Linked DNA regions of Callithrix jacchus. The protein of the gene in region 1 interacts with the protein of each later gene in a biochemical or structural test. Links are inferred from orthologs where the notes say so. Each region holds a gene or a part of one and is shown in the gene's direction. Other genes may lie near its edges.

The links.
Region 2: the proteins of FGFR2 (region 1) and FGF10 are reported together in a solved structure, tested with the Homo sapiens proteins (3 studies listed by BioGRID and IntAct, with this or other methods). The link is inferred for Callithrix jacchus from reciprocal best matches to the Homo sapiens genes FGFR2 and FGF10.
Region 3: the proteins of FGFR2 (region 1) and FGF7 form a complex in vitro, tested with the Homo sapiens proteins (3 studies listed by BioGRID). The link is inferred for Callithrix jacchus from reciprocal best matches to the Homo sapiens genes FGFR2 and FGF7.

Annotation. Positions count from the first base shown.
Region 1 is NC_133513.1:115,004,821-115,011,667, reverse strand, and holds the start of FGFR2 (fibroblast growth factor receptor 2), read left to right. Parts: upstream 1-2,596; 5' UTR 2,597-3,073; intron 3,074-4,395; exon of another isoform or gene 4,396-4,785; intron 4,786-4,939; exon of another isoform or gene 4,940-5,366; intron 5,367-6,217; exon of another isoform or gene 6,218-6,847. UniProt on the Homo sapiens protein: Tyrosine-protein kinase that acts as a cell-surface receptor for fibroblast growth factors and plays an essential role in the regulation of cell proliferation, differentiation, migration and apoptosis, and in the regulation of embryonic development.
Region 2 is NC_133503.1:161,144,264-161,147,763, forward strand, and holds part of FGF10 (fibroblast growth factor 10), read left to right. Parts: intron 1-1,554; coding exon 1,555-1,658; intron 1,659-3,500. UniProt on the Homo sapiens protein: Plays an important role in the regulation of embryonic development, cell proliferation and cell differentiation. Required for normal branching morphogenesis. May play a role in wound healing.
Region 3 is NC_133509.1:37,194,339-37,197,260, forward strand, and holds part of FGF7 (fibroblast growth factor 7), read left to right. Parts: intron 1-938; coding exon 939-1,133; 3' UTR 1,134-2,922. UniProt on the Homo sapiens protein: Plays an important role in the regulation of embryonic development, cell proliferation and cell differentiation. Required for normal branching morphogenesis. Growth factor active on keratinocytes.

The DNA of each region.
Region 1 (6,847 bases):
ATTTTGGGGGCATCGGAGTTCTGGTGTCCTCATTTTTCTTCCTTCCCATTGATGTATCATTACTAGAGTGAAAAAAGAAGGGCGTCTCGAGGGCTTTTGAGAAAAAAAAAAGGGTGACTACTCAAGACATTTTGTAAAGGGGGGAAAACTGTGAAGAAAAGAGGCCTCGGTAGGGGGTGGAGGGACTGTGAATGTGTCCTTGTCTGGCGGTTCTTTCAGCTGAAACCTGGTGCTGGCGTTCGCAGTTCAGTTCAAACTGTCACCTTTAGTTCTGACTGGCTTTTCTGCCCTTGCCCCAGAACCTCAGCAGATTGGGGCTTATTTACCTATTCACACTCCGCGGTGGAAGCTCATTAATAGGCTTTATTAGCAACACCATTCATGGGAGGCCATTGACGAAAGGGGTTCCAGCCACTTGAAGAGGGAAGAGAAAAAGGAAAAAAAAAAAAACTGTAAAGAGATTATTTTCTCATTCAGAAGTCTCGCTGGTGTGAAGGTTTTCCTGGACTGTTGGAGGTCACTTCAAGACTACATATGAGGACAGAATTGATTTTTAAAAAATAATCCTAAACATGCTTTTGTGTGTTGTTGTTGTTTTTTTTTCAAAACTGAAGAGTTTGCTGTTGTGGGCTTGTGGGTTTCACTCCCTTAGAAATTAGCACTCTTTAGGGAATAAGGAGCTTTTGATAGATGGGTGTCTTTTCATCTCCATAAAAAATACATTCTGCAAACTGTGCCTGGACATTAGAGTAGGTGTTCTTATTTGTCATTTTCAGTGGAAGGCTTCCTTCCATTCAGTGTGCATAAAGCTATTGATGAATGGGGATAGGGACAGTGGCTTCCTGCACCATTAATTTATGTGAGAATGTGTTAACAGCATTTTCAATGGCTGATGGATACGGTGCAGGATGGGAAAGGAATCTGTCCTGAGATATTTTGAGTTTCCCATTGGAGGGGAATGTAAAGATGTAAGAGGCAGCCTGAAAGCAGGCAGACACATTCAGCTGCATCCCTTTTCTGAGAACTTGAAAACATACTGCTAGGTTCAGAACAACCCAGGTGGCAGTGAATGGCTAAGTGTCACCTGTCCTGAGGTGTCTGTTAATATAGGCTCTGGGACTGATTCAGGTTAGAGGCCCCGACCAAAAACACCCTCCCACCAAGCATATGGAGGCATCATTTTGTTTAAGAGCCAGTTTTTATTTTGTTGCCATCAAACTCCCCAAATCCAATATTACAGCCTTTTGCGTGAGGCAGTTAAAGGGATTGATTTGTCGTGTGGCTTTTAAGTAACTCGCATCAATGTTTTCTGTGCTATACTGTGAATAAAAATGATTTTCTAATCATGTGGCACCTTGAAAAAAAATTTTTGTAAATGTTAGGAAGTATGCAATGCTAGTGACGCAGGTGCAAATATGTTTCTAAGGGCAGGAAAAGTCTGTTTTCCAAGTCAGGTTTGTTCTCAATGCTTCATCTATCTTCAGGCCTCAAAAGGATTCTAAAGCATTTCTGGGTTTAGTGACCTTTTCTAAAGAAAAATAATTAAGGTTTTAATCTATACCGTCTTGAACCGAGCACGGCTGCTCTGGAGCTGGATGAATAAGGAGGAAGAAAAAGCATATTTAAAATGAATGAATCCGAAGACACGGCTTAGGGAAAAGGGTAAATGGAAATAGGAACTTTAGCCAGTTACAGCTTGGTGTGGACTTGAAGAATCAGATTTTGCATTTATGATTTTGAATCTAGGATTCAGAGGGAGGAATTAGCTTGCTCAAGATCAGCTACTTATGGCAGAGTTGAATCTTTAGACTTCTTTGAATTTCTTTTAATTAATCCAAACATATACTACTAAACACTTATTTTTTTGAATGCAATTTTTGGCTTTTTCTGAGAGAGCCACATTCAAAGTCAGGCTCTCTCAATAGCCAGCTGTGTGATCCTAGGCAAATTACTGAACATCTCTGATCTTCAGTTTCCTTATCAGAAACTGGGAATATTACTCTGCAGGGTGGTTGGGCAGGCGAAATAGAATCACCTATGTAGTGTGACCCGCCCATAGTAGGGCCCCCATTAATATTCAGTTTTTTCCTCTCATTTCTGTTGTTTAGAAAGACAGAAAAATGCAATGTCCTGCGAACATTTCCAGGCTGCTTCCTCTCCTCCGAAAGCTTCAGTTGCCTGACAACCCTCCCCGCAGTACCAAAAGCAGACCCATTTTAAAGTCTCTTTAGGGGGTGGGCAGGGTTAGAGCCTTCGGTCACTTGTACTTAACGCGGCCGCTCCGGGAGCCGCTGGCCAGCCGCGCTCGCCCGAGGAAGAGGGAGGAGGTCGCGCGGGGCGCGGGACCAGGCCTTATTCGGAGGCTGTCGCTGCATCCCCACGGCCGGATCGCGGCTGGGCCCTCGCCTCCCCGGCCCGTGTCTCGGGCGAGGGCTCGGAGGCGTCGTGAGCCGCGCGGGGCTCGGGGCGGCCCGGGTGCGCGGCGCTGATTGGCAGAGCGGGCGCCGCCGTCCAGGAAACGGCTCGGGTTTCAGCGGGGGCGTGACCCGCCGGGAGGAGGCGGCGGCGGCGGCGCGGGCGGCGGCCGCAGGAGAGCGCGGTGGAGAGCCGAGCGGGCGGGCGGTGGGTGCGGAGCGGACGAGCGAGCGCGCGCGGCAGCCACAAAGCTCGGGCGCCGCGGGGCTGCATGCGGCGTACCTGGCCAGGCGCGGGGACTGCTCTCCGGGCTGGCGGGGGCCGGCCGCGCGCCCCGGGGGCCCAGAGGCCGCAGCTTGCCTGCGCGCTCTGAGCCTTCGCAACTCGCGAGCAAAGTTTGGTGGAGGCAACGCCAAGCCTGAGTCCTTTCTTCCTGTGGCTCCCCAAATCCGAGGGCAGCCCGCAAGCGTCATGCCCGCGCTCCTCCGCAGCCTGTGGTGCGCGTGAAGTCCGGGAGCCTTGGCGCGGGCGAAGACCTGGGGATCCCTCTTCTGCTTTTGGAGTTGCTCCCCGCAACCCCGGGCTCGTCGCTTTCTCCATCCCGACCCACGCGGGGCGCGGGGACAACACAGATCGCGGAGGAGCGTTGCCATTCAAGGTAATCGCCGCGGAAGACGCCTCTGGGAGCTTCTCCGCCAGCGGGGGAAGTGAGCGCCAAGGGAGCCCGGGACGTCGGGTGCAGCGTCCTCCGGGCGGGGGGCGCGGAAGGACTGGCATTGTGGGGGACGCCCCCTGGCCTTCCTAGGTGGCTGCATAGGTGATGGGGAGGTGGGTGCGTGCTGACGGCCCTTGTTGGGGAAGTTCTGCCTTTGCCACCTTCATCCAGATGCTGACATCTGCCTCTGGTGCAGACGCCCCCCTCCCTGTCAAACCCTGGCGGGCGCTTTCCCTCTGGCTGGGCGCGTTCCTCCAACCCCAGAGCAGACGGGCGGAGGGTTCGCCTGCCGATGGCACAGCCCCGCAGCCCGGGTCCCGCGGAGCATCTCCGAGGTGCCCCATCCGCGGGTCCTGGGAGCTTCCGTACCATCCAGGCCCCGCGGAGACCCCTGTCTCGGGAGGGGGCAGCTGGGGTGGGGCCGCTGACATCCCGTAGGGGTGGTGATGGCCAGGCGTGGCACTGTTGGGGAGGCGGCGGCTCCGGTGCCCGGTTTTCGATGCCTGGGCGCCCCTAGCCCGCAGCCGCTGTAGGCGCTGGAGGGAGCGCAGCGCGCCTGGGGCTAGGGGGCGAACTGGACCGACTTTTTCTAGTTCGCCTGCCTGCTCTGCCGCAGCGGCTGGGAGATGTCGAAAGCGCAGGCGAGTTCTAACTTGCGCGCTCATTCTTTCGGCGACTGGGCCGCGCTGGGGAAATCAGCCGAGGGCCCTGCGTGGCGCTGGCTCCGACCCTCGCGGCCCGCGGACCTGGCGCAGGAGGCCGGCCCGGGGGCCACTAGCCTCGGTCGCTCCCCTCACAGCCCGCTCCCTTGCAAACCGTTCTCCAGACCTTCTTTCCTTTCTCCCAATTCAATCAAACCTACCGTTAAAGGCAAACCTGCTTTGAAACTCAGGGCACCCATTATGTGTTTGGTGTGAAATGCTATCAACATTTAAAACTTCATTGTCCCCGGGTCCCAAATCCGTGTAAATCTTCCACCGGCCTCGACTCATTTTCATCTGAAAAGCCTGTTTAGTTTGAATAGAAAAGCAATCAGGCGCCCCTCTCCCTCTCCCTGGAATGTCAATTAAAATGCAGATTTCTCTGAGCTCTTTAGCGCCCCGAGAAGGGGGAGAAAAACAGGATATTTCGGGCAAACAAATGAAAGAAGTGCTGTCCCGAAAGGGGTGGTGGTGGGGAGCACCCCCAAGCTGCCTGCGAGTTCTGATTGGACGCAAGCATGAAACTGGGAGGGTATTGGGGTCCTGGCCCAGTTTGTGATTTTTGAGATTTCGATTTGTTGAGGAATTTCTCCCCTAGACTTGACCCCTTGACAGCTCCCTTTCCTCCTCAGCTGGGAAGAGGTAGGGAGGCCTTAAGCGAAGAGATGGGTCTGCGCTTTGGAGGAGCCGGGCACTGTGACTTTCCTGATGTGAAATCTACCCAGGAACAAAACAGCAGTGTTCCCTGTGGCCGAGCCAGCAGTGGACCTATCACCTCTTACGTGGAAGCCCAAAGCGGAGGGCTCTGTACTGGCCTGCCTTCTTAGAGGGTCGGGATTTTGGAAATATGGTAAAATTGAAGAGTGCAGCACAGGCCTGGCATGGGGACCACTCCGCAGCCAAGCCCTTCCTGCTTGTCACTCTGCCTGTCTTTGGGGGCAGGCTTGTGCCGAGGTGAAAATGGACGGGGTGGAGGGAGGGTGGGGGGCGGGCGGCCGAGAAGAGCCATCCATCAGAGGGAGGGTGACAACGCCTCCCGCGTGCGGGCTGAGAAGAGAGTTCCCTTTCAAGGGGAAAAATAAACACGCTGGGGCTTTCACTGGGGCTCAGACTCCAGGAAGGATTATGGTATTGAAGGCAGGAAGCCGGGATTGTGGCCGCCAGCGGCATGCTGGGCCTGTGTTCCCAACACCGAGCCTGGGGACCTAATTATCCTGCCTAGGAGGTCGTACCATACTTTTGTCCACTCGGTGAGGAACTGTGAAGACCTGTCGCCTTAGGTCTCCACCTTCCAGAGGTTTGGGGAGGGGGCTGCTGTGGAGCTTGGACCTGGAAATGGCTGAAATGCAAATCTCCAGTGCGGGCTAGCGGGATGTTGGAATGGCTTGAGATTCAGTGGACGGCCCTGTCCACCTTTCTCTGCCTGAAGCTAACAAGGTTCCTCTGGCATGGACAGGTGGGCGAGGAGGCTGGGGAAGGAGCCTGGGGCGAAACCTCTGCCAGGACTCAGGATTGTTCCTGAAGTCGTGTTAAAGGTAGAAAATTCCCCTGCATTCTGGAAATGCTTAGTAAATCAATGAGAATGTGTACTTTCCTCCCACATGTATGTAGAAATAGATCTGAAATTATCTTTTCAGGCTCTTGACTTTAAGAGGAAAGAAAAGTTAGGAGGAAAAATCCTTCGAGCAATCTGAAAGCACACGTACACACCATGCACACACACGCACTGTGTAGACACACAAGCTGCACACATACTTTTCTTGCTTTTGCTGTGAATCACACCGTTTCACCTGTGCTACCTTTGAAGCAGAGGTTTTCTTTATTCCTCCTTTGGAAATGGTGTGGCATATTCTTTTTCCTCATCCATTTTTATCGTCACAAAAAAGCTAAAAGGAGCAGTTTTTCTGATGAGATTTGGGGAGGCTTCAGCAGTGCTGAAATCCTATGTCATAACTTGAAATCCAGTGGGTACATAAAAAATGTGGAGTTTAGAGATTTTTGTATTAAAGGCCTCTCTCCAACCCCCAGTCTTATAAATGTGGTTCATTCCTGCGGTTCACAGATTCTGAAGCCTGAGTTTGATGTATCTCTTCTTGTGATTGTTTTAATTATTTTCTAAAGTTTGTGCATTTTGACACTACACTTAGTCACAGAGGGAACTGAGTGAAATTAAAGTTATTTGGAATATATGAAGCTTGGAAAATTCTCTTTCCCTGGATCAAATGGGTGAACAGAACAGAATAGTAATTTGAGTGTCCTCTTCTAACTATACTCTGAAAATTTAGCCAATAGGTGAGCATATTGAAAGTTATTGGTCCAATCACAGGCCATGACTGTAATTTACATCATCATTATTAATAAATTCCTGCGTTATTCATCAGAATTTGCATCTGCTCAGTTTCCTAATCCTTCTACAGAGGTTGAAGACATTTCACAGGCCGGGACTGCCATTTGGTCCCAGGGGAAGGGAATTCAGGCTTCAAAGTCCCTTTTAGATCAGCTGCGTTGAATGCGCCGCAGTTGTGTTCACTCTTCGTAAGTGGCTGCTTGGCGGAAGACTGAAATACACTTCTCCATTCGAAAATGAATCCTGACAAGTGTAAACTGGTGGGAATTTTCTGTAGCCTTCCTGGGATTCTTTTGATTTTGCTGATCTCCTTTCTTCCCGAGAGCTCCAGTGAGGGTGGGACAGACGGCTCAGCTCAGCTCCGCTCCAGCCCAGCAGAAATAGGGAGCTGTGAGCAGATGCCTCCAACAGTTTAGCTTTCTAAAGCCCAGCTGGACTGAGAGAAGGGAACGAAGTTGGTTATGCCAACCCGAGCATTTTTAACTTGCTTTTGTGGTTGCCCTTGAAACTGAGGTCACATTGCTTCGCTCGTTGAGGGCGGTGGAGGCGATAGTGGATAGTAGAAGAGCCCACACGTTGCCTCACTGAAGTGGCTGCACGTATCTGAGTCCTGTAGCTACGGTTTTATCTCTGTTTCTTAAAAGTATGCTTTCAAAAAGATTAGCCTAA
Region 2 (3,500 bases), on another chromosome or scaffold:
ATGAAAAGGAGTGCTGTGTTAGGCCAAAGACTTCCTACAGATACACAGACAGAAGGCTTTCTGACATTTAGTCTTGGCAGTCTCTGGTCATGTCAACTTTGCAATAGGGAAACTCAAGCATTTCTATTAGCCTTTGCAAGGCTAACCTGTGAAGGAATAGGAGCAAAGGTATGCATCTCTTGAGAATAAGCTAAGCCACTCTATGTCTACGGGCAGAGTGTAAACATATAATCTGTAGACTACATTTAGGATGGTGTTTCTCATGATACATGACAAATGATAACATGCTCAACTTTCATATTTTATGTACTAAGCCAATGTGAATTTGTATGTATTGTTCAGGATTTACATAGCCCACTGAAGAATTTCCAAAATCTAGAACTGTTGGAGAAAACTCCCCTCTAATGATAATTAAGAAGATACTAAGCTCCAGGCAAATTCTAATAATTTTAAAGGTACTATATCATTTAATATTCACAACAAAATTATGAGGGAGGTACTATTATGTTGCCCATTTTACAGATAAAATTGAGTCACGGGAGAGTTCAGTAACTTCTCCTGTGGTAATTCACTAATAAATGTAGAGCCAGTAGTTAAACCTGGACATTTTGGCTCCAGAGGCCACATGCTAATCACAATGCTACTTCTCTACCCTGAACAAACTTTGCTGAGAGTTATGAAATAAGTAGTTTTAGTTCCTTAGGTCTTCTTAAACTAAAATGAGTAAGCACTTTGAGCAGAGTATAAACTGCCTTCCCTATAGTGATCTACAAACTTTTCCAAGAAAATTATCTTTAGATGCAGCAATCAAAACTTGTGTATAAGGGGAAAAGGAACTCTTGTCTATCTCTTACTACTTCCCTGAATTTCATTTTTCCTAGGGAAAAAAAACTTTAAAAATCCATGTTGGTGGATTTTCCTCTAACATGAAAGAGCAGTGATTCCGCTATTTCAGAGACAGTGTAGATATTGGGATTAGTCTCTCTGTATCTCAGAATGTCAACACATTTGCCAACAATGAATTTATCAGTTAAATGCAGCCAAGAGATTGAGTTTATCTATGTACTACAAAGAAGAAATAGTTTACCACTGTTTTTACAGATTGAGGTAATCGGGCATATTATTGACATGTGCTATAGATTTAATTTAATACCACAGATATGGGCTCTGATAAGTTATTTTGAAATCTAGGCTAAGATGAGTAGAGTTGTTTCAATATTTATAGGGTTGAAAATGCAGAGTTAGCAAAGGAAGCATTTTAATTAAAACAATATTTTTCTATGTATGCTCAGAGTAAAATGAAGGGGAATTCTTTTAAAGCCGTATTACTTTTCTCCATATATTTGCTGGGAATACTTTTGCTGGGTTTTAAAACACATTGAAAAAAGGTTCGCTTGTTTATTTACCAATGTTTTAAGCCTTTTGATTTTAGAACCACCAAAAACAAAAACAAAAACAAAACAAAACCTCGATAGTTTCTTTTGATTTTACTTTTTTTTTCCCAAATGTATTTAGGATTCTCTATATTTACCCTTTTAAAATTGTATGTTTTAGGCATACTGGAGATAACATCAGTAGAAATCGGAGTTGTTGCTGTGAAAGCCATTAACAGCAACTATTACTTAGCCATGAACAAGAAGGGGAAACTCTATGGCTCAGTAAGTATTCTGCTTTTGTTTTCAAATCCACTGCAGAACATCATTACCACGGTTTTTGGAATGTTTCCTCCAGACATTGAATAGCTTTGTTATCCTTCTATTGCTAGTAAATAGAGCCACAGTGGTTCCGTCACCATCGTTTCAAGGGCTGGCAAAGCATCTTTTCCAATTCTGTAATCTCCTCTGTTGTTCACCCATTAGTCCACCACACAGGCTGCTGCTGGCATTTGTATGTGAATGTTCTAAACTGCTAACCAACTCAGGCTCTCACGGAAGCATCTGGTCAGATTGGCATGGGAATTGCAGACAACTTCGAGAAAAAAAATAATAAAAACAAAGATCTTGAATTGAGTAGAAACCCATGTATTATGTGTGTGTTATGGCCGAAGATAAAACAAGGGCTCAGATGTTTTGCATTTTGTTAAAATCTGAAATGGGGAAACATATCAGAAACACTATTTTGCATGTTGTTCAATCAACTCTAGAATTTTATTTACCTAGACAATAACCATTAATTCAAATTATGCCTCAAAAATCACACACACACACACACACACACATATGTATGTGTGTGTATGTATGTGTATGTGTGTGTGTGTATATATATATATATATATATGGAAATATTCCTTGCAATAGGGTATGGAGCAGGTATCCCTGCAGTGCTTTGGACACATCCACACCTGTATTCCATACCAAATGTTAAGTATTTGGAATACCACTTCAATCTTGGATCAAACTCATTTAAACCAATTTTTAGAAATTTAAGATCTTACTTAAAATAACAAATAGTTGTTTTATAATTGCAATTGTAATAACAAATTACAAGCAGTGAGACAATTTATCTTGTTCAAGTCCTTAGAAAAAAACACAACAGTCAATCATATTAAAATCTACTATATGCTAGATACTGTTTGACATCTTTGTATATCAAAGATGTACAAGAAAGAAATACAGAAATGGGCCCTGACTTCAAATAATTTATATTTAGGGGAAAATGTTAACAAATATGAAATAATTATAGCATGATTACATGCTATATTTCTTACATGCAAGAAAAGATCAGGTATAGTAAAGTAGCCTTATGATAAAGCTGGGAACAAAGTTTCAATCTCTTAGCTGTCATTTGAATGATGACAGGAGTATATTAGTTTGTGCGTGGATATTTTTCATTGTGTCCCTCCCAGAGGTAGATCAATGGAATGCTAACTGAATTTCATTTTTTCCCTCTGGATTCTACTCCAGGGGAGTATATTGAAGGCAGCTATAAACTTGGAAAAATTTCAATTGCATTTTTTGGAGGACATGCAATAATATATATGGCCAGAAATAAACCAGTGACACAAATCTCTTAAATAATTTTATATCTTTTCTAAACAGATCCTGTCATTTTTACACTTTTACGTAATCAAAATGCAATTTCACTTTAAATTTGTAAATAAACATACTATGTTAATTAGCATAAGGCTGCTGGTAGTGACCATTTAGAGCCAGCAGCTCTCAAACTTGATTATGCATCAGAATCAGCAGAAGGGCTTATTAAAAGACATAATAATGGGACCCACAGCCATATTTTCTGATTCAGTAAGTCTGTGGTGCGGTTCAAGAATTTCAGTTTCTGACATGGTCCTAGGTGTTCCTGATGCTGCTGGTGTAGTAACCACACTTTGAGAACCACTGGTCTGGACATAGAGTAGCCTTGCATTTTACTAATATCAGGTCCATTTTTAACTGGGGAGTCAGGCATGCTTTGAGTTGGTCCCTGGGACTAGCATAAATACTTTTTTGCATGGGGGTCAGAGAAATTTTGCTAAAATTTTTCCATTACCATTGCTCCCCTAA
Region 3 (2,922 bases), on another chromosome or scaffold:
ATTAAGAAAAAATGTTTTCGGTGTGACTTTGGAGAAATAGCCTGTTCTTTAGTCTTTGGTTTCTTCGTCTATAAAATGAGTTGAATTAACTGACCTCTAAGGATCCTTCCAGCTCTAAAATTCCATGTGCATTTTAGATATTTAAAATCCAAAATTTCCATTTGCTAGTATTAAAGCTCTTTTTGTTAAAGTTCACCCAATTTGCAAATTGCTGACATGAAAATTCTTGGGAAAAAATATCCTGAAGTGTTTAGTTCATTTATCAACATCAATCTCACAACCATGGGCTTTGAACTTTAATTATTCACATTGTTCCCACTTCACTACAATGCAAAATATGTAACAGTTCATCCCACTATAATAAAATATAATTGGCTTTCCTTTGTATTCACAGCTCAGCATAATGCCTGGCACAGACTAATTATATAATAATATAGGTTTAACTGAATGAAAAAATGGTTGCATGGATGAACATACAAATTAACCTTTTATCTTCCATTACCATTGGAGACAATATAAAAGTAAATAAAGAAAAGTTGTGAAACAAGTCTCTCACCTGAGGGAGGCAGAGGTTCTGCTAGCTACACCAAATTCCCAGTGGTTAAACAATGAGTGATGTGGGAATAGTAATATGAGGCCTGCTACTTAGGAAAATAGGTCCTAATTTTAAAGAACAGTTGACATGTACTGCCAAAAAGCTACACATATTTCATAACCAACTGTGTATTATGTTGTTTTTCTGTTTTAAATTTAAGATACCTTTCTATGCAAACATACTACATAGGTATTGCTAATAAACCACATTAGACCTGCTCCACCTGAGGGTTAAAAAAACTCATGTATGTTTCAATTCTACCAAATATTACCTGCTTACTCTCTGTTTAAATTGAGCCCCTCTACAAATCATTTGGATAATGTTTGTTTGTTTGTTTTAACAGAAAGACTGCAATGAAGATTGTAACTTCAAAGAACTAATTTTAGAAAACCACTACAACACATATGCATCAGCTAAATGGACACACAATGGAGGGGAAATGTTTGTTGCCTTAAATCAAAAGGGGATTCCTGTAAGAGGAAAAAAAACGAAGAAAGAACAAAAAACAGCCCACTTTCTTCCTATGGCAATAACTTAATTGTATATGGTATATAAAGAAACAATTCCAGCAGGGAGTTCTTTAAGTGGACTGTTTTCTTTCTTTTCAAAATTTTCTTTCCTTTTATTTTTTAGTAACCAAGAAAGGCTGGAAAACTACTGAAAAACTGATCAAGCTGGACTTGCGCATTTATGTTTAAGACACTGCATTAAAGTAAGATTTGAAAAGTATACACAAAAATCTGATTTAGTAACTAAAGGTTGTAAAAAATTGTAAAACTGGTTGTACAATCATGGTGTTAGTAATAGTCATTTTTTCTTAAATTAATTTACCCTTAAGAGTATGTTAGATTTGATCTGATAATTATTTAAATATTCCTATCTGCTTAAAAAATGGCTGCTATAATAATAATAATGCAGATTATGTTATATAAGATATGTCAGACCTAAAGGCTGTTGGCAGGATTTGTCAGATAATCAAGCCACATTAACTATGGAAGATGAACAGTATTTTAAATGCTTTCTAATAAAAAATTATAATCCACTTAAACTCTAATCAGAAAAAAAATCCTCAAAAATAATCTATTATTAAAGTCAATAAAATAGATGATTTAACCAAAGTATAGGATTAGAACATGCTTATACCTATTAACAAGAACAAAATTCCTAATGCTTCTCAAGTGGAAAAGGCATTGCTAAAAGGATGTTTCCAAAAATCTTGTATATAAAATAGTAACAGTGATTGAGGATAATACTGTACTTCATGTCACTTGCCACAAAATTAACATTTTATAATTCCTCCAGGTAAAACTGAGAAATCCTTAAGTTTTTTTCAAGTAACATAATCTATCTTTGTATAATTCATCTTTGGGAATATGGCTTTTAATAATGTTCTTCCCACAAATAATCATGCTTTTTTCCTATGGTTACAGCATTAAACTCTATTTTAAGTTGTATTTGAACTTTACTGTTTTGTTATTTAAGTTTATGTTATTTATAAAAAAAAAAACAACCTTAATAAGCTGTATCTGTTTCATATGCTTTCAATTTTAAAGGAATAACAACACTGTCTGGCTCAACTGCAAGTTTCCCTCCCGCTTTGTGACTGACATCAAGTCTAGCACATAGCACTTGGGCCAGCAAATCTTGGAAGGCAGACAAAAATGAGAGCCTGAAGCAATGCTTACAATAAATGTCTGACACGGAACAATACAAATATGTAAAAAATCTTTGCCACATTTTCCTAACAATTAATTGGATCATATAAGTAAAGGCATTACAAATAAAAGAATTTATAGGATTTTAAAGTTAGAATATATTTGAATGCATGAATAGAAAAGTATCTTATTTTAAAACTATGTATATTTAAATGCAGTAATTTTCTAATCTTTAGAAATCTCTGCTATTCAAAAGGTGGCAGCACTGGAAGTTGTTTTCCTGTTAGATGGCAAGAGCACAATGCCCAAAATAGAAGATACAGTTAGGAATAAGGGGCCCTGAATGTCATGAAGGCTTGAGGGCAGCCTACAGGTAACAGGATTATTACAAAGATGAATTTCCACTTCAAAATTCTTTCATAGGTAGATCTTGGTAGCACTTTATATGTTCACCAATAGGAAGTCAACATTTATCTAAATTAAAAGGTATGCTAACCATTGTGGTTTTAATTTCAAAATATTTGTCATTCAAGTCCCTTTACATAAATAGTATTTGGTAATACATTTATAAATGAGAGATATATGAATATACTATGTCAAAAGAAACAATAGATTCATTTGATTTTCTTGTGGTTCACAGGCTGTAAGAAATTAGAAAAAAATTGCCCATCC